Caenorhabditis elegans: one gene and its partners. The protein of the gene in region 3 interacts with the protein of the main gene of each other region in a pairwise test. Each region holds a gene or a part of one and is shown on either strand. Other genes may lie near its edges. The genes, in order: peb-1, ceh-22, fkh-6 and ham-2.

Region 1 (7,589 bases), on a different chromosome or scaffold from region 3:
CTGCATCTACAAAGGTCGAATCAGGATTTGAAATTCGATGCACTTTACATTGCGTCAGAATTGACCCTTCCGATGACCCAATTCGGAAGAATTCGCAAAAAGTTTGTACCGTCAATTTGAATGGCAGCGACGCAATAGATTTGGGAAAATTGGCGCATCTAGGTTAACGAGTCGGGTGGTATGGCCCAGCCTGTCCCCGCGCGCGCTGCCGCGTGCCTGCCATCCATGGCTTGACCTTGGCAATGCGCGGATCTGTTTGCGAATTATTCGCGGTTCATCAACATGGGAGGGAGGAGGGGGGCAAAATTGCGGCACGCGCATGAGTGGCCGATGTTTCGAACCGTGCCACGCTCAGATTGTTTTATTTGACCTGACCAACATCGCAACTGACCTAGGCACTCGGCGGCGCCACCCAGCGCCGAAAGTAGCGCATCTCGTTGCACTTTTAACTTGTATACACAAACTATTTTTGACACACTCGAAAAGGGCCGACGATCTTTTTTTTCCATCTACTGGTGCCATGAAGTGAATTTTTAAGGGTTACGAAATAAAAAAAAGTTATCTTTTTTGCACGTACACACAATTCCCTTAGACACTCTCAAAAGCTAGAGGTTCCACATGACGTTATGAAATTCGAACTTGAAGGCGCCAAGCCTAGGAACCAATTGGAACAAAAAGAGTCAGCTGGCAAATTCAACCTTATGATATCGGTGCTCTGATCTGGCACTGCGCCAATTGCAAAGGGCACTAGCTCTTAACCTAGACAGTTGTGACTGTGTAATCTCGCCACGTACCTTGATAAATTCGATCTCAGCGACATGGTGTCTTGGAGGGTGATTGTGTGATCCTTTCGTGCATGCGTTTTTATTATCCATGGTTGTTTCAGCTCGGCATTTGCACCACTGCCCATCATGCATTTTCTTAGCGCAAACGCATCTCCAAGACTTGAAGTTACGTTCTGGAGCAATCTGAAAAAAAACAACTCGTGATGAAAGTCACCACTTGAATGATGGTCTATGATACCTGATAAATATTATATCGGTAGCCTTGATACATAAGTTTTTGATATCCTTTGAAAGATGTGACAATTTGTGGAATGTCTGGATTGTATCGGACAAATGAGATCTGAAAAAAAACTATTATTATCGGCCCAAAATCGCCAGTTAAGGCGGTGTTTCCCGGTGTCAGGTTGTTTTGAAATTCGTGTGGGAAGGAAGCCCTAAATTTTCCGTCTGAACAAACACCGGTCAACTATGCAAACGTTCTCTTTCAAAACTATGTTTGCCCTTCGGACAGTCCAAACAGTTATCTCAAAGTACTTACCTTTTTCTTTTCCTTGTCCGGTGATAGTGGCATACTGCTCACGCTAATCGGAGAAATGGCGGAAGTATCAGTGGAAGAAGACGAAATGTCTGATGATCCAGGCTTTTCAAGACCCAGCATTGTCTGAAAAGGAAAATTGATGTGTTAAATCAAATGAGCAAAAAAAAATAGCGATGGGAGCAATAGAATAATAATAACCAAATGACCTCTGATGAATTAGAAATTGAACTCAAACTAGACAGATGATGAAAAAGAGATATGACCAACGAAGAGAGATGTGACAAAAAAAACGAGCGGACCTGCTGTTGGATAGCGAGCGAGGTTCAGACACCTAGAATCAGACGATTTTTTCTCATCTATCTCTCCGCCCCAGGCACTATCAGTTGCTTGGGGCGGACAAATCAGCTGATGGGGCAGTCGAGAGAGGCGCGTGCCATTTGAACTGATAACCTATCGTGGCAGGCACCAACCGGCTGCCAACTAAGACACCGAATACTGTTATTTGGATGAGGTGCGCGAGAACGAGAGTGGCGAAGAGATAGAGGATGAGTGACCGGCAGGAGGCACAACTGACTGTACGGAAATTGGCGAGAAACATGCGTTGAAACGAGATTGACACATTCACTTTTTTTTTTGATTTTGGTAAATTTTGTTGAGGTGGTTGGTCGAAATTTCAAAAACAGACTAAAGAAGGGTTAAAAAGAATACAGAAGTATATGATTATCATTATTTAATTCGGAATTTCTAAAGAAGATAGAACAAAAAGTTGATAGCGGGGCAAAGCAAAATTCTCGGAAAAGAAATACAGTAACCAGTTTCGATGGCACACATTCCGCAACATGCGGCGACTTTTATCGAGTAATGGTGTTTTGACTTCGTTGACCCACAATTCCTTCCATCTATCTTCCGCCAGCCTGATCATAATACTTTTTTGACCGCTTTTCCATCCATGGAATACTGCGAGGAAGTGGCGCGAGAAAGTAAAGGCATGAGGTATAACGAGTACCGTTCCAAGTTTCACTTTTTGTTTTTGTGGCGGGCGAGGGGGTCATCGTCGAAGAGAAAGTTCGAGTAAAAGTGACCAAAAATGAAGCAAGTTTTGCAAATAGGCACCAGAAAGGGGGTCTCCAAAAAGTTATTATATCCGGGCCAATGGAAAGTGTGGGATGCCAGGACGATTACCGAAAAAAGGGCCGCGCCGTCGCCGCCCGCATGACCTAGCGCGGAAGACACGGATTGACACCGGATTGATGGATTCGGGAGAGAAAAAAAAAACCACAAAATTAGGTAATTGAGGGCGAAGATTTTGATAAGAAAGGCGGAAGCCAACGGCTTGACCCAATCGCGTGGCACTAGTCCGCATAACCTTGATGGAAACTATTACTGTTGCAACATCGGCAAAGTGCAAGGTCCTATTGGACATCGGCGCAAGACGGCGTCAGCACTTCTCGCGTACGATTCGCCATTTATGGCGGTCAGAATTCAAGTGTCTAGTAATCAGTGGCCGACAGAACAAACATTTTTCTTATCAGTATGTATATGCTTGGTTCAGCGAAAAATTGCATAATACCGATCCTGGAACGGTCGAGCACCACTGGACAACAAAAATATTTGTTTGGCATGCTTACATGCTGATAATACCTATTTCAAGATGATGGGAATTGTATAGAAGCCGAAGGTGAAAACATATCAAACGTTAAAATTAGGAAGGTAATCGTAACAAGACTAGTAGTAAGGTAGAAATACAGTAAGCGTGAATCTAGAGAATCGCAGTCTGAAGTTTCACACCTTCCGCTATCCATATTCTACTGGTAGTCTAAAATTCCGATGGCGGCGTCGGGTGGAAGTGAGAGGGGGGGGGGGGGGGCGGTTCAGTAAGGAACGGGGTCAGGCTGCCTGCCACGAAGAACCGCGAGGGAGAAGGCCTTTGCCTCCTCCATCTCCTCCTACTTCTACATCCACAACATCTTCTTCATTTCAATCGGCCGCCTCCCCCCTAAATGAACAGCCAACCCCGCCAAAACATCCGCGATCCGATGGTGTGAGGCACGCGCGCGCATACGCCGTGCCCTGAACCATTAGTAGTGGATGATGATGGTGATGAGGAACGAAAATGAAAGAAGCGTCTAACGAATGCAAAAAAGATCACAAGGGGCAAAGAGGTGAAAGGCGTGTGTACATAAAAACAACTCTCGAAATCCGCCTTGTCCGACATCCAAGTATGGTAACTGCGTCGGCAGCAGCAATTTGGCGCCAGTCGCCGATCCACTCTCACTTGGACGTTTTGCCCCCAATATGGAAGGTTTTTTCATCTAATTATTTGACCGGATGTCAATTTCTATGTCTATCACGAAACGTTTAAAGGCAGATTCGTCAATTTGAAAAGATCTGGAAAAAAAACATTGCTGGAGCAAAATTACAAGTCTGGAGTCGGCTTTTCGTTTCCAATTAGTCAAAAAACACACACATACACATACGCCACCATCTGGGGTTGTCAGGAAAGGTGATGGATGGACATCTCTATGGCAATCGGGAGAGGGCCTAGAACAAAGGGGTGCCAGTCTCGGATCGGTCAGATGAAATCGTTTCTCTCCTACAAATTTTTCGAAATTTTGCAATCGTCAATGATTAGTTCGATATCCAGAAAATTGGTATAGATGATATCACATATTTACTACGGGATCCATGAATGCCCTTCATTTTCACGTCGCGCCCCCCCCCCCCCCCCCCCCATTCTCGAAGAAGTCTTAGAAGCTGCAAAAGCTCGTAGTCAATCTTGTCCAGGATGAGTGAAAGGCGATTTTACTTTCTATAGCTGAACCTTGATTTGGAGAAAGTGAAGAAGGGGCAGCTAGGAGAAAAGAAGAAGAGTGGGCATTTACGCCAAGAAAAAAACTGAACACGCAAGACTGGTCACTTCATGAAACAACATCTAGCGCTTCTAAAAACTGAAGTGGTCTAGAAAATTAGGAGAAAAATTGTGAAATGGAACAATGAACGCGCCAAGGCAAAACGAGTAAAGTGCGTTACTGGTGCTCCACCCTTCCTGCCTCAGAGATTGACCCCCTGTTCGAAAATTCAAACATGAAATAGTGTAAAAGAGAAATGATACACAATTGATAGCTCTAGTACAGGGAACAAGGTTAGAAAGGTCATTAGTCAACTATGGAGTGCTTCCAGTTGCCACCACTGACAGTAGAAGTGTGGAAAGTATGTGTGCGAGAGCCCGGCGTGAGCCAAAATGGAAATGGGCGGTCCGAACGGTTTCGACAGTGGAGGAAGTGGGAGCCATCCGAGTTGTGACAACCACGGTGGCGGGTGCCCGGCCGGAAGGAAGCACACATCAAGAGTACAGTACGAAAGGCCTTTCCGCAAAGGGGGGGGGGGGCAAACGGCAAACAATGACCCTTCGGGGCGTGTATATATTGTGCTTCGCATCAGTTTGGCCACGTCTCGCGCAGTACAGAGAGTGGCACGTAACGCCACTGACCAGCCAAGTGCAAACTTGTAGACAGGCATCGCAGCGCCGAGGCACTCCTCCAACCTAGTACTATATTTGCAAATGTTGGTTCTCTCTGCCTTCATCTACTTAATCTTTCTCTCGAAACTGTTCCCTCGAAACCGCGCACTTTATATTACTGGGTGGTTTTAGATGTTGCCCTTTTCTTCCGCGTAAAGTCATAAAGAGGAAGACGTCAGAAACTATGAGCCACAGAACGAAAAATACTGCTAGTTTTATATCAAAACTTTTCGGAGAAGGCAAGCAAGCGTCGACGGTCAGAAAAAAAATATAACGACGAGGGCGAGCTGCAAGTATCACTAAAAGTGAAAACGATTGGCAAGCGGACAATAAACATGCGGTTACGCAACAAAACTTTCGCGCATTGGTCATGCCCCGGCGCCTAGCACTGTCCGGGCTCGTGTGCAAAGGTCGCTGACTCATCTGGCGCGGCCCATTGAAGTCGAGCAGGGGCAAAATGGTACTGTCAACTGATATGTTGGTTTTTTAATCAAAGAGCTGATTGGCAATGGTACAAGCCAGCACTACTTTCCGCCCGTAAAGGAGAAACATAGAGAGCTTTTTGGTTGCAAAATGTAGAATGTTAAAATTATACAAAAGATAAAAACGCATATGAATACTGATAATTAACTGAAACTGTGAACCATTGATAAGTAAATGTGTACCTATCAATTACAATTTACTCCAACATTTCCCCGATTAGAAAACTAAAATGTGAGAACACAACAAAAAAAACTACATTAATTTTAAAAACCGCTCGTCTCCAAAATTTCTTGACATCTCCCAGAAAATAAAAATGGAATGATAGATACCAAGTCAATTTAATTCATATTCCCCCCCGTAGCCATATTTGGCAGGCAGAAACAAACGACGACACGTCACTGAAACGAACGGGGTGAATAGGAGAACAAACCGAGAAACAGAGAAGCACACGAGAGGGGGGGGGGGGGGGGTTTATGGATCTCAAGAAAATGCATGATGTTAAAGTTTTGATCATCACATCGTATTCTGACAAATAGATAGAGGGTAACTCAGCACAAACCCCTTGGCTCACGCAAAGGACAAGAAAACAGTTGTGCAAACTCAAACCACCGACTGAAAACGCCTGTCGCTGAACAAATCTAACTGGTCACTCACCTGGTCAAGCCGCCAGCAATTTTTTTGAACTGTTGTTGTCATCATCAGCCCCAGTTTGGAATATCCAGAATGCTTCCTTTTCTCGGTGTTTACTCGTTTCGTTGCCCTGGAATAAAGTACACATTTATATTGATCATAACAGGGCACAAACTGAGCAGGGTGCCTTTCACGAAGAGCTTGAAATGACCTTTTAACACACACACATACACACATCATGGTACGAAATACATCTGGGAAAAGGGTGATGGTTGTAAGAATAAACTAATAAAATAATGAGCAATTGGAGTTGCACTATGTGTGTCAAACTGGAATTGGAAATTGGAAAAATCTCAGTTTTTGTTCGAGGCATAAACTCTAAAAATTTCCACTTTTTGACTGTCAGTAAAAAAAACATTTCAAACGATTTTTTTTGACTTTTTAAAAGTTTTAATACAAAATTTGATTATTTTGGTATCATATATGTAGCACTGCTCCACTTTTGAAAAATCGTTTTCTAATTGGTTACAGTGCTTTTCAGAAAATTATACAATGGTTTGCAACCTGTGGTGTGGTGTGTGTGTGTGTGGGTGTGTGAAAAAGGAATTAAATACAAGAAAGAGATGAGTTGGATGCAATAGATGGGTATATGGTGACGACGTCTTCGCCGGACGCAGATTGTTGTTGTTTGTGGCAGTTCCGCGCGGATCAAACAAATAGTATGTCAGCGTGTAGATGCGCAGGCAGATACAAAACGCGGCGTGCGGGCACTAAAGTTCGTGACCTGTGATGGGTCGCGGCAAATTCGGAATAGACCGGGGGGAATGAGGGAGAGGCGGAAAACCAAAAACGGCGAGACACAAACTAAGGCTCAAATAAATGACGAGTCGAGCGAAATACGTGATTAAACTTTTCCAATACAGTCTCAGCGTATTTTTTTTTCGGGCCAGCGCCACCCTCCACGCTCGTGAGACACTTCTATACTACTTTATGAATCCGGCAAACTTTTGGATGCGTGAGTGTGCCGCTCATCATACGCCCACATTTGTGAGATTGGAAAATAAAAGTGCAAAAAACCTGAAGTAATATGCCTTTTTCTTGGTTGCTTACATCAACTGGAAATCACATTTTAAAATTGATGAGTTCAGTGGGGTCCCTTGTGTAAATATCAATTACTAAAATATTGGCACTTTCAGTGATGTCTTCAAAAAGCAATGATTTGATTAACTTCTCGACCTAATGCGATATCTGAAAAAGTTCACAAGCAATTCTTATCTTGATTTAACTGATGGTCTATCCGTCTTTGTTGTCGCTTGTCAGTACCACTTGCCGTGCCGATTCGGTGCCGTCCAGTGTTTCGCATCCAATTGGCCAACGAAAGGTCATTCATCCGACTGAACTAAATTATGGCATGGCAGAATGACAGTGTTCAGGGGTAGAGTTTTTTGAAATTTGCAACTATCTGCATAGATCACATCAATTTATTTTCAAAGTGTGACTGTTCGGCCTGTGCATTATTTAAAAAATTTTCACATGTTCATCCAAAAATCTCCAGTGCAGTCCCAAAACCGATGGAAATCTAGAGAAAAAAACCCGGAGCAAGTGATTTGTATAATCGAGATATAATCTCAGT
Region 2 (4,892 bases), on a different chromosome or scaffold from region 3:
ATAATTTATTTTCGTTTTCCTAATTTGTTGAAAGTTTAATTGAAGGGTGAACAAAAATGTTCAAATGCAACTTGGCAATAAGCACACGTGTTAAAAACATTCTATGTCATACATCAAAATGTACTCCCCACTTTATTCAAAACTGCAAAATTTTTTGTGAACTTTCTCCTTGGAAATTGTGTAATCGATACGAAATCTTCCAAATCGTAAAACATGTACATAGAAGACGGTCTGTTAAATGCATTATACATAGTTAAACATACATTTTTCATGTGGTTTCAACGTAAATTTTAAGTCATTTAATAAAATTATCACAATTTACATAAAACATGTGTATGGGCATAACTGATAAAATATTTCAAAAACCGGTAGTCCGAACTGATTTGTTGTTATAAATTTGTAGATCACAATTCGGAGAAAATATGTAATAATGAGAAATGAGCAATTAAAAGTGAGAAACGAGATGTATTCTGGGAAAAATTGACATGGTATAGAGTATTAGAGAAATCAAGAAGGCCACCATTGAGTATTGGTCATGTAGGAAGAAGCTGCTGAAGGTCCGTTTGAAAAATACCCGGAAGTGGCTGGGAGGTAGGCGGAAGGTGTTGGTAGGTATCCTGAATTGGCACTTCCAAATGCTACCGTGTATGGAGATGTTGAGGAAATGTCCGAAGAACGAGCAGAAGAGTCACGGACTAGCATTGGTATCGGCATTCTGTAAATATACAGGTACAATTTAATATTTTAAATTTTGTTTGATATCAACCAACTTTCTCCATGTCACAAAATATAAAAATGAATTGATTTTGAATAAAACTCACGCTCTTGTTGGAAAACTGGCCGCTGTCGATTGACTTGAAAATGCATTGGGCATTGTGGTAAGAAGCGCCGCGTTTATTGGCTTATCCGTATGACTTTTTTTTGTTTTGTATCTAAATTTTTAAAAGTTATAATTGAACATAGAAAAGTCATTATGTAACCACAAATAAATCAAAATTTCATAAAATACTAACCGATGATTTTGGAACCAAATTTTTACTTGAGTCGGAGTAAGTCGAATTTGCATTGCAAGAGCTTCACGTTCAGGCGCGCTCAGATATTTTTGCGAGCGGAATCGTCGTTCAAGTTCATAAGTTTGTGCTTTTGTGAACAAAACGCGACGCTTTCTCTTTTTCCGTTTTCCAGTTCCATCATCTTCTTCGTCATTCTCTTCATCTTCCAGAATTTCATCTTCATCTTCAAGTTTGATTCTGAAAATATACGTTGGAATAAGAATCAAAATTAAATTGAAATTATGAACTCACCCATCTTTATCGCTTTTGTTTCCATTTGATGTATTGCTGTTATCTAGCATATCATTCTCAGAACGTGGAAATTGATCAGGTAGAGTGTACATGGAACCTACAAAATTCAGTTAGGTAGGTTTAACATTTATTTTTCTAATAGGGAAAAAACTTACCAGCAATTCCGTTTGAAGCAAAATATGCAGATGGATCATAGCTGCCGTATGTGCAAGGATCGAAGGAAAATGTGGGAGTAGCAGAATATCCTGAAACTGGGAAAACCCTTGTTTCACTTGCTAATTGCATAATAATTTGTCTGGCTTTAGAATAAAGAAAGGTAGAAGAGGAAAAAGACTCGTGATAGAGAGTCGCGGCGCCAAGAACAGAGAAAAAGCCCCTTTCTGTTTACTTGCATCCATTCATTTCCGATTCTAGGTAAACACGAAATAGCGAATTTAAATAAGAGAATGAGACAGTATACCGTATACAGTATCCCTATATCACCTATATTCAGAAAAGACATACGAATACTGTATAGTGTTCTCACGGGAAGGTGTTGTGTTACTTATTCCCGCATTACATGTTACACAACAATTCGTTATTGGATATTCGAGAAAAGAAGTTCAAATCTACTTACCTGCAAGTAATGGAATGCTATCAGGCCACGTGGAACATTGTAAATTGGTGTCGGTGGGAAGTAGAGTGTCCCATTTAGCTTCGAGTCTGGAAAATGCATAAGTTTGCATGGTGAAATGTGAAGGAGTCGGACAAAAAACAAGCTTTTATATAAGATATGCGGTGTTTTGATTTGCAAAAAGGTACGAGAAGCGGCGATTCAAGAGTTTCAAATAACTTCTCCACCGCCTTTTGAAGTTGCCGAAAATAGTTAAAACTTTATTGTGAAACATTTTCCAAAATGCTTTGATATAAGCGCTTGGTCGAGGAGAGCTGACCATTTTCTAGGTGAATGAATGCATCTTTAAAAAAAGATACGTCGCTTTGTGCGGTTTATTAACTTTTCGTTGATTTTATACTCGTAGAAAACATTTTAAATTTAAGCACAACTGTTATTAATACTGATATTGGAAATTTTCTTTGAAAATGGGGAGAACATGGTTGAAAGTGGATGTTGCATTTTGTCTCAAGGTTAAAGATAGTCAGAACCACGAATCAACAAAACATAACATAACGGATAAAATTGCAACGCTAAAAGGCTTGAATGTCTTATTGTAACACGTCATAGCTATACATAGTAGTTCTTAGGATATTTTCATCCCGTTTCATTGTAGGAAACAATCGGGGAAAATTTGAACACAACGCATCTCAATATCGTTTCCTTATTTTGTGTGTTTAGAAATATACGTTTTTCAATTATTGAATTGGTGAAGGACAATAAAAAAATACTAGAATAAATTTTGCTTTCTGAAAATGTAATATTCGAAATAATTTTAAGCAAGTAAAACTAAATTGTTCGTTTGAATATCATTAGATTTTTGTTTCATAAATATCATTTGTTTGTGGAAATTTCAAAGAAACTGCGTACGATTTGGAATTTTCGCCAAAAAACTTCTTGGAAATAATTGAGTAGAAATGAATAACGCGAATGGAAAAGTTGTGGATATAGAAATGAAACGTCCTGAAATGAACAGATACTAGTGGAGGATGTAATCGAATATATGAGTGGAGGGGGATCTCTTCACATAAAGTGGATCATCTTCAAGACGACAAGCCTCCTCTCCTCTCCGACCTTCTCTCTTCAAAAAACACTTACTTGTTATGAAGTGCCGATTGTGACTGCTGTTGTGGCGCCGCTGATGCACTTGAAGCCGATGAAGCGGCGCCGCCATCTCCAGTTCGAGAAGTGGTATCATTCACTCCGACGCCAACACTTGTAGACAATCCATGTTGCTCCGATGGGCTTGCAACGGATGAAACCGAAGCGATAGAAGGCGTCGCTGCTGCTAGCGCCGACACGTTGAACATCGGCTCTCGAGACTCGAGTGCAATTGACAACCGACCCTCTTGTGCTGATTGCAACACGCCCACCTGTGCTCCCTCTGGCTCGCCAACCCACAAATCGCGGAGAAAGCGAAGACGGTACGGTAGATTTGTATGCTTAGATATCTCTGCGCACTCTTGTAAGCTCAGTATACAATTTCATCTCTTTTGTGACAAATCTCGGAGATGTGAGGATGAGTAGAGTGAAGAGGAATGGAAAGTACAATTTAGTCCTATTTTTTTGAAATTCATTTCTAGTAAAGATTGTGTTATTAAAAAAAAGATCTTCTGAGACTAGTGTAATTAGTTTTATATCGGATACTTAAATATTTCCATCAAGACAAATATATAGATTATGTAAAAACTTTATTACACTTGAAACTATGCCTACTTACTTTTGAAACCAGTACAACATTTTGGCATTCTTTATAAAGACAAGGACCCAATTGCGGAATAGATTTGAATTAGTGGTCATTGTATGCAATTAATGGTTAAAGATAAATCTCATCAAGGCTCCTTTCACAAATTAATAACAATAATCGATTAGGTACCAAAGTCGATATCTTAATACATAACTTTCCATAATAGATCAAATTCTATCTTTTTGCACACGTTATTTATTTGCTGGGGTATGAGCATCTCGGCTAACAATAATCAAGTGTAGTGCTCGAACTATAAGTGGTTCGGCAAATGAGCACCCAATATATTTATGCTCATTTCGTGTTCGCAATGATCCCCCAAACTTTCGCGCACTGGATTTATTCTAGGTTAATGCTCCGAAAGCTTGAACGTAGTTCAGTAACTTTAGGATTCGATTTTGCTCAAAACTTTGCTTTAAATAGTTTTTCTATTAATTTTTACATTTCAGGAAATCAGTCAGAAAATAGTTGCCTGTAAGGCAAATCTATTATCTTGGCTTGAATTTATCTTGCTCTAACGTATTTAAAAAACAAACTCTCATTATGATAGGTTCTAGCGATTTCTGAGTAACCCTTTGAGTAGGTACAAAGCGCATATAGTCGTGCTTAACTATGTAACTGTATCACTTGCTTTGTCTACATTAAGACTATTAATATCACTGAGAGTTTGGCTTAAAAATTTTACATTGAATTCTTTGACTTAATTTGACAATTTTTCAACATAACTTCACTCATATACATATACATTTCCCCGAAAGAAAACTTGTGAACAGTATCACTGTCTCGTATTCACAACTAACCTTAATCCAATTACAAGTATTAGAATCATCTTCTACAAGATTATTGTGTACAGCCGCAAAGGGATGCCGCCGAAAAGTAAACTACCTTATTTGTGGTGTGTACGCGGGAGATGCGTGCGGACGGGCTTCTCTTTGACCTTCCAAAAACTGCTCCCTAATTTGCGCATCATCAATCTTCCTCATCAACAATTTTGGCTTTTGGATCCAAAAATACGGCCGCGTTATCTGTTTGTCCACTTACCGTAATCTTTTTTGCTCAACTTCTTGTTCCTTGCTGATTTGTGTGTGCGTTTCTCCACCTACACACACAAAATGGATTCACAATATCCTCTTCTCTATACTTTTTTACTAAGATTAGGGAACGAACGAACAAAGGTCATGAAAGTTTGTGT
Region 3 (6,048 bases):
TTTTAAATTTCTCGCAGAAAAATTTTCTCGAAAAAAATTAATTATTGGTCACAGTTTGATCTCAAAAAATTTGAACTTACTACAAATTTAGACTACAAATTTTTTGGACAAAATTTTACCAAAATTTTGTTCTCAGAGACTTAGATTTTCTTGCCAACTTTTATTTGGTAAATTTTAAATTCCGATTAATATTAGTTTTTGAAATAATAAGTACTATAAACTTAAGTTTATAAATAAAATTGATATCGGTGATTTTTTTTCTTCGAAAAACCCTCCAAATTGAGTAGATCTGCCATTAAAAAAAAACTGAAAAAAAAACACTTTAAAAGTCAAATCACTGTTTTTTTCTTTCAGTAATCTGGCTGCACAAAAAGAAGATCGAGGCTGAATTACAATCCCGCCACGCCGAATCAACCAAATTTTTAAGCAAAATTAAATTAAAAGAGTCAGAAATTTACGGGTTGAAGACAAAACAAGAAACGTGCCAGAAGGAGTTGACGGATTGTCAGGTAAGATTTGAAATTTTTTTAAAACCATAATTCATGTTTTATAGACTTTAAAAGAAGAGCCAAAAGAGCAAAAAAAAGAAAACAATAAAAACGATGAAAATTCGAAGAAAACAATCGAAAAATATGAACAAGAAATTGCGGGTCTCAAAGAGAAAATTGAAGGTTTGGAGGAGAAGGTGAAGAATAATTATTCGGATGAAAATTCTAGCTTGAAGGTAATCTGAAATTAATTACCAAAATATTTCAAAAAATTTATTCCAGGAGGAACTGAAACAGTGCGAAACGAGGATCAGGCAGTTGACAGGGGTAAGTTAAGATGAAGCTGGGAATTGTTGTCCATAACCATAGAGAGATGGGTCATCAAATGATAATCCCGTGAAAGTGGTTGTTGGTTGACAGGACCAATTGGTATAAGGGGGCATGAAGGCGTTTGGGTACATGTTGCTTGCAGTGGAGAGCAGTTGCTGGAATAAGTTTTAGGAGGGTTTTTGATTAGTTATGAAAATTCTAAAATTTAGAAAAAGTGGAGATAGGAGAAAAAGTGGAGATAGCATAATTTTTACCGACTTCAAAATTTCTCCATTAAGCTGCAAGAGTTAAAAAAAAAGTAGCATAAACTTTATTTAAAACATTTTTTGAAAATTTCAACTAACCTGTTGCTCGATACTCCTCGGATCAGTCATCTGAAGACTTGTCAAGAATGTTGTACTTGAAATCCCAGGGATCAATGGCTTCATATCAACTAGAACCTCCTCTTTGACAGTATCCGATGGTACAACTTCTACATCAGACACAACTGGTGGTGGTTGAGATGGAGCCACTAGATTTGTGTCGAAATGAGAAGTTGGAATTGGGAAGGCGCTTGTGTAAATTGAGGTATCAAATGATGACGATGAGGAAGAGGAGTTGTTGATTTGGGAGGTGTTGGCACTATCAGTGATGGAGTTGGGGTATTGGAACTGAAAAATTGAAAGTGTTAGATCTGCACCCCGATTGTGCTCTATTTTGACCGCTTATATCATGGTTGCCTGAAATTTTATCAAATAATTGTCATTATTTAAATGTAGAGAAATATTTTGCCCATATTTTGTCAACTGACAATTTTTGATAACAACAAAGGGAGTCAAGATATAAGCTGTCAAAGTAGACCAAGGCATGGAGTCCACTTTTTGGGCTTTTTTGGTAGGCAGGCACGCCTTCAGGCGTACTTACCTACTTTATATTTTTCTGCCTATGCCTGCCTATGATCTAAAATTTACAAGCAGGCATAGTTGTCTTTGTGAAATATTTGCACAGTTCGCTAATTTCTTTAAGATCTTTTTGAGATTGGCACAGTTTCCTCGGAGTTTTGAGTATTTTCATGAAAGTTTTTTTTGGAAAAACAATTATTAATAAAATTATTTTTAATTGGGAATATAAAGCAACTTTGCTTCATTTTATAAGAGTTGTAACGAAAATTTCACAACTAACTAGTAAGGACTCTGGGGCTAAACGATAAGCTTACTACAGATTCACCAATATTTTTAGTACAATTTCGTAAATTTGTTGCCTGTTCGAATTTTTCATGGGGCGTTAGCGTTCAGATTCCCGAAAATCTTCACTGGGCAATTATTTACCTTAAAAAACTGGAAAGGATCCATAGTTTGAATATTCTGTGGCCACTTCAACCCGTTGAAAAACGGAAGCTGTTGCTGTAGAATGGTCCCTGTTTCAGTAGTTTCCGTCGTATTCGCATAACCCATTTTTCCGATTCCAAGTCTTTTGACACGTCTGTAAATACATGAACAAATAGTCATTTTTCACGAGTGTATAATAATAATAATCCTCTTGTCACTATCCATACCTTCTCTTAAAGTTGCCGTTGTCAAACTGAGGCGCATTGTCCGCCACCATTTGCCAATAGTTGCCCTTTCTGTCGTTCGCGCAGCTTTGTCCGTCTCGTGCTTTTTTGACAAAGCAGTCGTTGAGTGACAGATTGTGTCGAATACTGTTCTGCCATCCCTGTTTTCGTTTCGCGTCCGCGTCACGGTAATATGGGAATTTGGCCTCGATGAACTGAAACACACATCATCGGTTTTGTTTGCGCCTGATAGGAAACTAACATACTTTGAAAGGTTATATCTCGGTTCATAATAAAGATATCAATGAATGATCAACTACAAACCTATAGAAAAATAACCAAAAAATATTTGGCTGGTAGACAATTTTTGTTTAGGACAAACGAGAGCTGAGATATTAACTGTCAAAGTTGAATACTAAGGTTTTTGGGTCTTGACACGAAGAAGGTCTATATATATATATATTGACATTGTTATTGACTTGTAGGAGAGAGGAAAAGTTGTTCACTGTGTAAATGTTATGGGAGAGGCACAGGGTGCCCCCCACACCAAATTAGTCAGATCTATTAAGGTTGATGAGTCAAAACGGAAGAGTGGAAGTGGTGGGTTACGGTAGATGTGCTGGCTAGTGAGTTGGGTTTTCCAGAGTTAGATTGAACTGAACATTACTAGATCACTTGTGACAGGGTTACGGTAGGGCAGGGCTAGGTGGAAAAAAAAAGCAACCAACTGAATATCACAACAAAAATATCAATGTATGAAACTTACTGTACGAAAATGTGATATGGGAAAGATGATGTAGAACCTTAAGAACTTTTTTTCGAATTTCGTTTTTTTTGTAGCAATAAGGAGCAGATTAATTTTACTGCTATATAATCGTGTTAGAAAATCTCCAAAATAACAGATATTTTGAGGCTTTTCTAGTAATTTCAAAACAATTTAAAGTACAAAAAATATAGGGAGAATCTCCGGAGAAGTGACGAATATTTTTCTGGATTTTTAAATGAAGTATATGTCATTACAAGATGATCGCCAAATTTTTCGCTTCAAAGGAGCATTTTGAACTAGAAAATGTTTCATTAAATGGCTCGGCTTGATCAGTTTTATATGACTAAATAGACTCCGATGATTCAAGTTTTCAAATAATTGAAATTTACAAAAAAATCTTTCAAACGTTTGCCTATACCTGAAAAACTTAAAAGAAGATAAAAATCGGATTTGGAACAATTTCAGCAGCCTCGAAGTTAGTGTAAAGTGAGATAAAAATTCTCAGAAAAAAAGTAATTTTTAAAGTTTTGGAATTGAATTTCGTAGATCTATTTTTGCAGGAATAACTGAAAGTTCTAGCACATATTTTAATACTCAATATGACGTCCAAAAAAAACTGGAATATTCCGCTAACATTGTGAAAAATTTGCTCAAAAATTCTTCAAAATTTGAATTGCCGCACCAGTTTTGGGTTTTTAAAATGGTATTTTTCCGCAAAAAAGTATTTAGTTTTAGCAAAATTTTCATGATAATTCCTCCAAAACCGCTATACCAAAAAAACGTTATCGAAAAGCTTCCCGTTACCTTGTAAATCTGATTCAACGTCATTCTCTTATCCGGCGAAGCATCGATTGCCATTGCAATAAGTGCAACGTAACTGTATGGCGGCTTGTCAATCGAATTTCCCTCTTGACTGGAAAGAGCTCTTTTATTTTCAAAACTTTGCCTCTAACAGAATTTTGCAACGGGGATTTTGTATTTAGAGAAGAAGAAAAAGAAAATATGTTTCCCCTCTCTCTCTCCCTCTCTAAAAACAATAATAAATAAATAAAATAAATAAATACATAACTTACACAATATGAAATGGAAGATGTGTTTGATGGCGAGTCATGATTATTGTATTTTTTTATGGTAGGGGGTGTCAAATGAGACAACGGATTATGCAGAAGCTAAGAGTGAGGGCGGGGTCTCGGAACTGTGAAGACGGAGGTGTGGGTGGAGGGAAAGAAATGGAAGAAGATTGTGCACACTGTCTCCTTCTCCCCCCTGTGTGCTCCTGACATTTTCTGGTGCTGATTCACTGGTAAAAGGGAAACAGAAACATCCAATCTGATCATCTCTTACTTTTTATATTTTGTAAATAAACGAAAAATCGAAAGGGAGAACACGACGACGATTGGAGAATATTTGTATTACAACACAAAATTACACACAACTTTTTACAGGGAGGAGCCATCGAGCATTACTCGCAAAATGAGACGGCACATTTCAGCAGGAATCAGAAGGTTTGTGCTTCTTTTTGTTGTACACAGTACTCCCGTTACAGTAATCTGGAATTATTCTGAAAATTTTGCGATTTTTTAATCCTTAACTTGACCATATTTTTTGACTTTCCAGCGACTTTTAGTCACCTTTCATTCATTGTATTTTTTCTACTAGACTTCCAGGCACTTTCCTTTACTTTGACAGCGTATATCTCAGCTCTTTTTGATTTTATCAAAAATTATTAACTGGCAAAGTACTCCCAAAATAATTCTCTACATTTTATTAGTTTATCATTTTTTGTTAAAATCTAAGTGAACCAAGACATAAGTCGTCAAAGTGGAGCAATGTCGGCGCAAGGCTAATAGGGAAAATTGGCAAAATAGTAGATCAAAATGATTTCCAATTTTTTTTTTCAAACTTCTGAAAAACAAATTTGTTTTAAAATTAATGATTATAAACCACAAGTATCGTTTTTTTTTTAATTTAAATTTAATTTCATTAAAAACTGGATTTTTTTAACTTTTTAAATTTCCAGCCACATTTTTGGGCATTGTTTTCTGTAGCCTCGAAAAGTGAATAGAAGTGCCTGGATCGACCAAAATAATTTGAAATATTTGTTTTAATGCTAAAACGGTCAATTCAGACAAAACTAGCCATTTTCCAAAGCATCAGAAAAATTTAGAAACAAATTTAGAAAACTTGAAAATTTTTGATTGCAAAATTTTCGATTTTTTCGAAAAAAAAAAGATTTTTATCAATAATAATTTCCCTCAAGAAAGTGATTTTAAAAATGGTTGTTTAAAATAATTCACCACATAATCAGAATTTCAAATATTCAAACAATTTCCAAAATTGGATATTTTTCATAGATAGTTCTATTTTTTCACACTTTCAATTTTTCTCTGTGTAGTTTCAGAATCACAAGATATTTTCCCATTTGAAACGAAAACATATCACTTTAAATAAATCACCTGAATATTTGCCACTGTTTTGCTTATCTGTCTGACTTTCTCTTATCAACAAATTGTTTCAAACTTTTTGATCAAAGGTCTTGCTTGTTTCTATTTTTACTTACTCCCTGTATTTCTTTTCACATGAGTCTACAAGAGAGAAAAAAGTAGCCGTCATAAGGGTCAACTAACTACTCCATTTTCAGGCTGATGAACCATTGTTCTTCGATCGAGGTAACATTCAACATCACATCCCGCAAAAGTTGTTATTGGGACGAGAATTGGTGCAGACACTGGAAGAGGCAAAAGTGAAAAAGTTGGAGGAGAGAGAACAAATGGACAAGCATCCACAGGATCGCGATAATAAAGGTGACATTTTGACTGGAAATTTATTTTTTTCTTTGGGTTACTGTAGCTGAAAAAATCTGAAATTTGTCGTGGACGTGTTAAAAAAAAATCCCAAAAATAGAAGCTACCAAAAAATATTAAAATGAAAAA
Region 4 (7,088 bases), on a different chromosome or scaffold from region 3:
TAAAATGGACAAGGGAGAGTCACAAAAAATTATCTAAATATTAATTCATTTTCGAGAAATATTTTAAGCATCTATTCTGCAATAACATAGATTTGACTATTTTTGGAGTTTTATATGGTTTTAGAATACTTTAAATACACTCCTGAGAAATTTTGAATAACAATTGAAGCCAAACACAAGTTCGTAAGTATTTCATCTAGCAATTTTTCGTTTTGATGTAAGAAAACGAAAGCTGCAAAAAGGGAATCAACTAGTACGAAATTTCTTGAAGCTGAAGTTTTAGACAATCGACTGAGTACATCAGGAAGAAATCAGAAATGAATCATGCTCAACCTTTCACTATGCTGATTGTGACGTCTAGTGGGTCGAAAAGGTAAAAATGAATTTTCACATCGCTTCACCTGAAAGCACATTACCCTCTGAAACGGGTTCAGTTTTGCATTCAAACAAAATGATGTTTTATGCGAGGATAACATCATCTTGTGAGAGTTTCGTTTTTGCTAGTTTTTTGTATGGCTTATTACTTCCTGCATTTTGAACTTTGAAAATTATTTATCACAAATATAATGAAATGAAATCATTGAGGGAAGGAAAAAGTCAAGGCGGGAAAAAAGGGTAATGCTATAAAAGTCAAGAAAAGGACCAGAAGAAATAAAAAAGGAAACATTTAGAACAATGAAGTAATGTAAAGGACGTTCTAGGTAAATCGCTGAGTGCATTTAAGGCTACGTTTTATTGAAGCTATTGCAACAAAAAAGTAAAGTAGATTCGGATTGTTTGGAAAATGTCCACCAGTTTCTAAGATTGCGGTAAATACAATTGTCAGGAATGAGAGCACTCTGATTTTTTTTGGAAGTTTGAAATATTTGGATGCAAAGATAAGAAGTAGCTACGAGAATAGGCATTATGTACAAAGATATAAACGACAATTAGTTTAAAAGCCAACCAAAACCGCTTTAAAAGCTGTTGGTTCTTTGATTCAGAGTATTTCGGAAATTGCTCAAAGGATTGTTGTATTTCAATGGCTCAAAATGCTGATTAGAAACAAGGAATGAAAATGACTACGTGGTTCAACTAGATTTGATGACACCATCAAAATCGGAAATAAAGAAATTGAAATCGTTTGGATCTAGGGAACCACTGAGGGACGGTTCATGTGAATCAAATTGTTCAACAACATTCTCATCGCAGGATTTTGAAATAGATTGTTCGGCCCTGGAGATGGCATAGGCATCATCGGAGGAGGCAGCATCACGGGTGGCATCGGATTCGGTTGAATTTTGCGGAGGAAATCCACTTGAACTTGCAACTCTCTAATGGTCTTTTCATAGGCACGACATTTGTCCTCAACTGCAACAAGCTTCCCTCTGGCTACCTGAAACATCATAAACTTATGTAAATTATTAAAAATATCAGTGGGTGGGGGATAACTCAGTCGGTAGTGGTGGCCGCTGAAGAACTACAGGTCACGAGTTTTTACAGTGCGCGCGCTTCTTGTAGGACACCCCTAAATTTGTGAAGCATTGGAATACATACAATTCTTCAGGAAAATTTTTTGTGATATTTGGAATCGAGTGTGTCAAAAAACCTCGAATCCGTTTTCATAAATTTATCATCACAATTGAAAGCACCCGTTTTGCTATAGGACCCTGAGATTTTAACCAGCTGAAACCTAGCGTGAACTTGAAAGTGGAGCAGTCCATGACTGGATTATCAAACTTAACCTAAAGACTAATCATATCACCAGAAGTACTGTACCTAATTCCCAGATTCTCTTCACATAGCGCTCGCAAAATGGATGGTTTTTTATTTTTTTTTTTCATATTTTAAATTATAATTCAAAACCATTTAAGACAACTTCCTAACCTGACAATCAAAGCATTTCAAACTTTCGCCCGAATGACTAGACGATCCACCACTGATGTGAGAATCCGAAACCGTTGGAGAAGGCTGATCATGGGAAATGTGGATGTTTTTGTCATCAATCGTCATTTTCAATGGTGGTTCGCCCTGAAAATTTTGAAAGTTTCATAATATGACATATTAAAGTTTAATGGGGTGAAAAACAAATTTTCCTCAAAATTTCAATAAGTTTTCCTTACATCATCGCCTTCCACATCAATATCAGCATCGTGTTCCAGTTCTCTTTTGAAAGTTGGTTCAGTCTTGACAATGACTGACCGAGGGCTGACATCACTGCTTTCCACTTCAAATTTGATGTCTTCTTCAGTTGTCTGCACTTCTAAGTCGTCATAATCGCTAATATTAGAAGACTGGATGGAATCCTTAAAATGTAATACATTTGAATTCAAAACATCAAAGAGTTGTAACGTACTTTGGACGGTGTTTGTTGCGCTGCCAGATTAAGGGCCGCCGTGTTGATGGGATTGTTGGCAAGCCACGCTGAGAGGAACTGTGAAGGACCCATGTTAGAAAGATCCAGGGGGAACATCGATTTGGAGTCGGGGCTTTTGAGCAGTGTCGGGAAAATGGATCCAATGTTGTTATTGTTTGCAGCAACTTGTAACATACGCTTTTGCATCAACAAATCAGGCGAGAAGGGTGGAGACTGACGCGGGGAGCCCGACTCGGATGTGCTATCTACAACTGCAAATTTGTATTAATGGATTTCAAAATTTGTGGGTAGATCTTTACCATCTGAACTCTTAGCTAAAACAGCCGCTTCCCCCGGTGTCCCATTTTTCAGCATACTCTGCATATGGATGTGAAGACTTGTTTTGTCGGGAAAAGCCCAATTGCAACACCGACACATAAACATTCGGGTAATGTTGTGTACTCGATACATGTGACTGCGTAGTGTATCGTTGCCTGCAAAATTGTTTCTTAAGGTTTCCTAATGACTGAACAGTGAGAGCAGTGCCGGCTCATTTCGCACTCATTTTATTATGGTAATTATCAAATACTATTTGAACCCTTCTCCAGCTTTTGAATTCATGTCTCAATGATCTAAATATTTGTCGAAAGTAACATGTAAATGGCTATTTGCCAACCCCAACTGCATTGCTATTTCCATATTCCACTTAATTGCCATTCTTTGTGCCACCGAGCCTAACTGTCTATCAATCAAATGAAATTCGCAACATTGGGACACTATACGCGCGCCCGTAAAGGCATGTTAGGTGCCAATGTGACGAATGTTCTACGACGACCCCCCTCATTTGCATGTTTGTCTGAATTTGAAAATACGCACTATAGAAAATCTATAGAATAGCGGATCTTGCCTACCGACAAAGCAGTAACACAAAAAAAAACGACAAACGCAGGGGTCAGGCTGTAAAACATTTTCATGTTATGTTTCGGTATTCTACTGGTTGATCCGCTTATTGTTGGATTGCGCACGAGTAATATAACAAATCCTGTTGATCTGCCTGCTAACATGCCGCCGTATGGATTCCACGTATAGGCGAGCGGTGAAGTAAGGTGTGAAAAAAGCTGGGTGCTTTGGCCGAAAGTTTCTTGAACGACCCCCATGCTCAGCGAACCGTAACAAATGATTGACGGCGAGTGAACAACCAATAAATTGTAATGTTGGAAAGGTGGTAGAAAAAGAAGAGGTTGCAATTTTTGTTGCGGAAGATGGGGAAAGAAGACAATCGGTGGTTTTTTTTTTACTTTGCCCGCGCGCTGGCCCTATTCTTCGCTCTCAAGCTCACTTAGCGACAGTGGCGTGCCAACAATTAGCTGATGGATGGTCATCAAATGACTGACCTTGGAGGTTCATCCTACCTTCCATTCCAAGAAAAGAAACCATTAAGTAATACATACATACCGTCGGTTATTTATGCCTCTCGCTCTCTTAGGAAGCCGCTCGGGATGGAAAGATGGGGCAATTAGACAATGCAAATAGCAGACGTGTTATTGTAAAACTGTGGCGTAATATGGTCAGAGGTGTCTTTTCAAAAGATTCTTGCACAAATATTAGAGTCAATTTGTTATTATTTAATACATGATACTGCTTTCCATTATAGCTGGAGACGCTCCAGTGGGAAATTGAAAAAAAATAACGCCGAATTTGCCAAACGACGCTACAAAAATTTTTTGAAATTTTTAATTTTGTTTTTAAAATTGGTAATTACTTTTTTGAAAGTCGTCGATAAACAGTCGCCTACATATTTTTCAAATATAAATATTCAAACATTGTAGAGATCCGAACATGCGGCATTGCTATAGTTTTCTCGAAAAGTGGCAAGAACACAGTTATTGCCACTTTTTGACTGTCAATAATGTTGGTCATTTTGGCTCTATATAAGTGGATGTTAACCATTTCCCCACTGGCACTACTCCACCTTTAAACTTTTTGCTACTAGTCCAAAAGTGCACATGGTTGTTTTAAAAGCTTAACAGATATTACTAAATAGATACTCCTAATTGACAGTCGGAGCTATCTCGGTATTTGCACACCTCCTCATTCAGTTTGCCATGCCATATAGATGTCTACAATTAAGAATACAGTAGTAGTTGGAAAGGGTGTCAATATTTAGATAACCAATGTAATTTTTTGGCGGAAAGAAGGAGACTGTATCAACCTTGTTTGACACATGCCCAATATAGCCACGTGCTAATCGGAGGGTGTGAGTTGAGTTTAAGCTTGTCAGTAAACAATGCCACTGAGCTTTCGCGCATTTCAGATTATGGAGACTTCCGATCAAATAAATGTATTGGGAGGGAGATTAGAAAAATGTAGAAATGCAATAAACTGGTAGAAGACAGAAACTAAATGCAGCAGGAAATAGAACATTCGTTCAGAATTTTAATTCAATTTTGAAAAAATAAATTAGAAAGTTAAACATCACCTAGAACCCATAATTTTTTATTTTTAGATTTTTAGATCAATTTTAAATTTTCAATAGAATAAGTTCCGTACAATTCAACAATAGCTATGTTCTCGAGTTAAGTTTCCCTCTCTTTTTTCTTATTATCATATGATAAAACATGATACAAAACTGTGAAAACATCAATAGCGGCATAAATTGTTTCGCTCTTTCTCCCCTATTGTTAGTCAAGCTCCTGCTACTCTGATTCATCTATTTCTCTTTTTTTTCTCAAACTTGCATTTTCAAACTTACTTGGAATTTCGTTGTTGCAAGTGGTACAGGTGTAGCTTTTAAAGTGAGCCTGCATCCGGTGACGACTCAGAGACGAACTGTGGCAGAATACTTTTTGGCAAATCGAGCAGGGAAATGAGCCTTTCAAATCGGGACGTTTTAGCTCTGCACGATAGGGCATTGTCTAAAAATGTTTTTGTTATTTGATGAAGCTTTTAGAAAATGGTGCTGAAATTTTCACAAAATCGAATTTGAAAGGAAACACTAACAAGGAAGAAGAAAAAAACGGTGGACAGTTTGAATGAAAGAGCGCTCATAGATGAACAAGTAGGATGGGCTACCAAGACCTCCACTACTTGAAAAGTTTTGCGTACAACACTCGAAAAGGTATTCAGACGCAGCTCTTCTCTCCGGAGACAAGAAGGTCGTCGCCGGCTGACACCAACCAGGTATTTACACCCTCACTTGATACTGTTTAAAAGTAGCGAAAAAGCATACATAGCAGCGATTGGACAATGCATTACAGTAGCTCAAGTATGGCGGGGAAGGTAAGAGTGCTCGAGAGGAGGAAGTGAGAAAATAACAGAACATTCAAAATCGAAATTTGTCACACGGCTTCTGCAATCTTAAAATGAATACTACAGTAATCCGGTGACCTGTGCTCTTGGACTAACAAAATGGCAAGCAGTAGTGCAAGAACGAGCTGAAGGCTATGACTCCCCCCGCCTACCCGATTTTTGGAGGCGGGGCATACCATGCAGAATAGAGATAGTGAGCGACGGGACGCACGGGGTGAGGGGAATGGCATCAAGCACAGTCGGGATAGTAAGTGGCAACAATTTTGGCTAGCAATTGCGAGTTGATTAGCTTTCTCAATTTTGAAAAAAAAAAGTTGGAAGCGAGTCTTAGATAGAAGCACGATGCTCTTAGGAACAGATGTGGGCAAGCTGTTCAAGCTTTTTTTTAGTATAGAACACAAGCGAATAACAGTTGGGAAACTTCTACCAAACACGGCTGACCCAAAAAAAAATAGAATGACGCGAGGGATACACCAAAAAAGCCCTCAAACCATAGACAGCATGATTGCTTGAGTTGAGGATTGCGCGCATCTTCGATTCTCGTGTTCTTTTTTCTTATTGGACGACCACAACAAAACCAGTTTTGTAAAATTGATTCGGGTTGCGCAATGCTAGAATAAACTATCCAACATCGCTATTATATTCGAATTTTTGTCTCTCTCTCGCTCCCGCTCCCCCTCTCTTCTGACTGCCATTCGACCCCATAATCACACAATGCTTTGAGGCCGGTTTTCTCGATCCGCATCAACAAGTTCAACTATCTCTATTCAATGTGCTATTTTAATTGGGCACACACTACCAAAATTTTGAAAATGTTGAGTATGACTGTTGAGTTTCTATCTATCTGTATTATTTTTTTGGGCCTACACACGCCGCAGCAACTACAGTAATTGTAGAGCGGTGACGGATAAGAGTGTGAATCTTACCCCGTTGAGATTCTCGGCACGAACAGGGATTGGCCTTGGCCGTGTGTCCAGGCGCTCGTATAATAAGGATTCACCTCCTCCCGCGTACAGGTCGCGTTCCTTTTCTTGACGGCTACATAATCAGTAGCTATCATAGCACATCTTGCCTTTTCCCGCCAAATGTCTATCTGGTATATATCTCCGAGAGAAAAGAAACAAGAGGCGAGTAAGGTAATGGAGATATAGCGAATGGATAAGAAAACTGTTCCATATACTACATCAAAAGACAGACAGGTGAACGCAAAGTGACAAGAGGTCTAGGTGGGCAAGTAGGAGGAACATATGAGAAAAAAGGGAAATGGAAATGAACATTTTTTAGAAGTTTTCAATTTTAGCAGGACTAACAGGTATTGGAAAGAATGTTTGAAGAACCTAGGAACATACTTTTATGGTCCACATATTTGCATCAATTAGACATTCAAATAGAGAATGCTCCTATTCATATATGTATTAGCATATTACAATTGTTGCGATTTTTA

What was found.
Region 1: the proteins of fkh-6 (region 3) and peb-1 interact in a two-hybrid assay, tested with the Caenorhabditis elegans proteins (one large-scale study listed by BioGRID).
Region 2: the proteins of fkh-6 (region 3) and ceh-22 interact in a two-hybrid assay, tested with the Caenorhabditis elegans proteins (one large-scale study listed by BioGRID).
Region 4: the proteins of fkh-6 (region 3) and ham-2 interact in a two-hybrid assay, tested with the Caenorhabditis elegans proteins (one large-scale study listed by BioGRID).

The regions. Positions count from the first base shown.
Region 1 is NC_003284.9:2,209,487-2,217,075, reverse strand, and holds the start of peb-1 (FLYWCH-type zinc finger-containing protein peb-1), read right to left. Parts: upstream 6,026-7,589; coding exon 5,981-6,025; intron 4,835-5,980; exon of another isoform or gene 4,544-4,834; intron 3,619-4,543; exon of another isoform or gene 3,496-3,618; intron 3,441-3,495; exon of another isoform or gene 3,059-3,440; intron 2,842-3,058; exon of another isoform or gene 2,494-2,841; intron 2,271-2,493; exon of another isoform or gene 2,085-2,270; intron 1,847-2,084; exon of another isoform or gene 1,630-1,846; intron 1,447-1,629; coding exon 1,324-1,446; intron 1,257-1,323; exon of another isoform or gene 1,135-1,256; intron 1,126-1,134; coding exon 1,024-1,125; intron 969-1,023; coding exon 795-968; intron 438-794; exon of another isoform or gene 175-437; intron 1-174. UniProt on the Caenorhabditis elegans protein: Putative transcription factor. Binds to specific sequence motif 5'-[TC][AGT]TGCC[GA][AT]-3' in regulatory elements of target genes such as myosin myo-2. May modulate gene expression, perhaps acting in opposition to transcription factor pha-4.
Region 2 is NC_003283.11:10,671,008-10,675,899, reverse strand, and holds ceh-22 (Homeobox domain-containing protein), read right to left. Parts: upstream 3,267-4,892; coding exon 3,055-3,266; exon of another isoform or gene 2,977-3,054; intron 2,920-2,976; coding exon 2,827-2,919; intron 2,030-2,826; coding exon of another isoform or gene 2,007-2,029; coding exon 1,921-2,006; intron 1,669-1,920; exon of another isoform or gene 1,590-1,668; coding exon of another isoform or gene 1,556-1,589; coding exon 1,460-1,555; intron 1,402-1,459; coding exon 1,305-1,401; intron 1,251-1,304; coding exon 1,014-1,250; intron 933-1,013; coding exon 822-932; intron 716-821; coding exon 508-715; downstream 1-507. UniProt on the Caenorhabditis elegans protein: Involved in combinatorial activation of gene expression in pharyngeal muscle. Specifically binds a site necessary for activity of the B subelement of myo-2 enhancer.
Region 3 is NC_003280.10:4,379,063-4,385,110, forward strand, and holds fkh-6 (Forkhead transcription factor fkh-6), read right to left. Parts: upstream 4,345-6,048; 5' UTR 4,227-4,344; coding exon 4,189-4,226; intron 4,029-4,188; coding exon 3,920-4,028; intron 2,565-3,919; coding exon 2,353-2,564; intron 2,280-2,352; coding exon 2,126-2,279; intron 1,469-2,125; coding exon 1,163-1,468; intron 974-1,162; coding exon 821-973; 3' UTR 816-820; coding exon of another isoform or gene 771-815; 3' UTR 725-770; coding exon of another isoform or gene 554-724; 3' UTR 523-553; downstream 1-522. Other genes in the region: B0286.1 (uncharacterized protein), read left to right, coding at 355-509, 554-724, 771-815, 4,561-4,620, 5,757-5,919. UniProt on the Caenorhabditis elegans protein: Probable transcription factor. Binds to the DNA sequence motif 5'-[TA]TGTT[TG]T[TG][ATG]TT-3'.
Region 4 is NC_003284.9:4,552,853-4,559,940, reverse strand, and holds ham-2 (Zinc finger protein ham-2), read right to left. Parts: upstream 5,257-7,088; 5' UTR 5,248-5,256; coding exon 5,088-5,247; intron 4,443-5,087; exon of another isoform or gene 4,299-4,442; intron 4,009-4,298; exon of another isoform or gene 3,567-4,008; intron 3,199-3,566; exon of another isoform or gene 3,060-3,198; intron 2,830-3,059; coding exon 2,656-2,829; intron 2,608-2,655; coding exon 2,336-2,607; intron 2,286-2,335; coding exon 2,103-2,285; intron 2,011-2,102; coding exon 1,867-2,010; intron 1,376-1,866; coding exon 1,130-1,375; 3' UTR 533-1,129; downstream 1-532. UniProt on the Caenorhabditis elegans protein: Probable transcription factor that acts downstream of egl-15, to promote migration of the HSN motor neurons from the tail to the gonad primordium during HSN cell differentiation.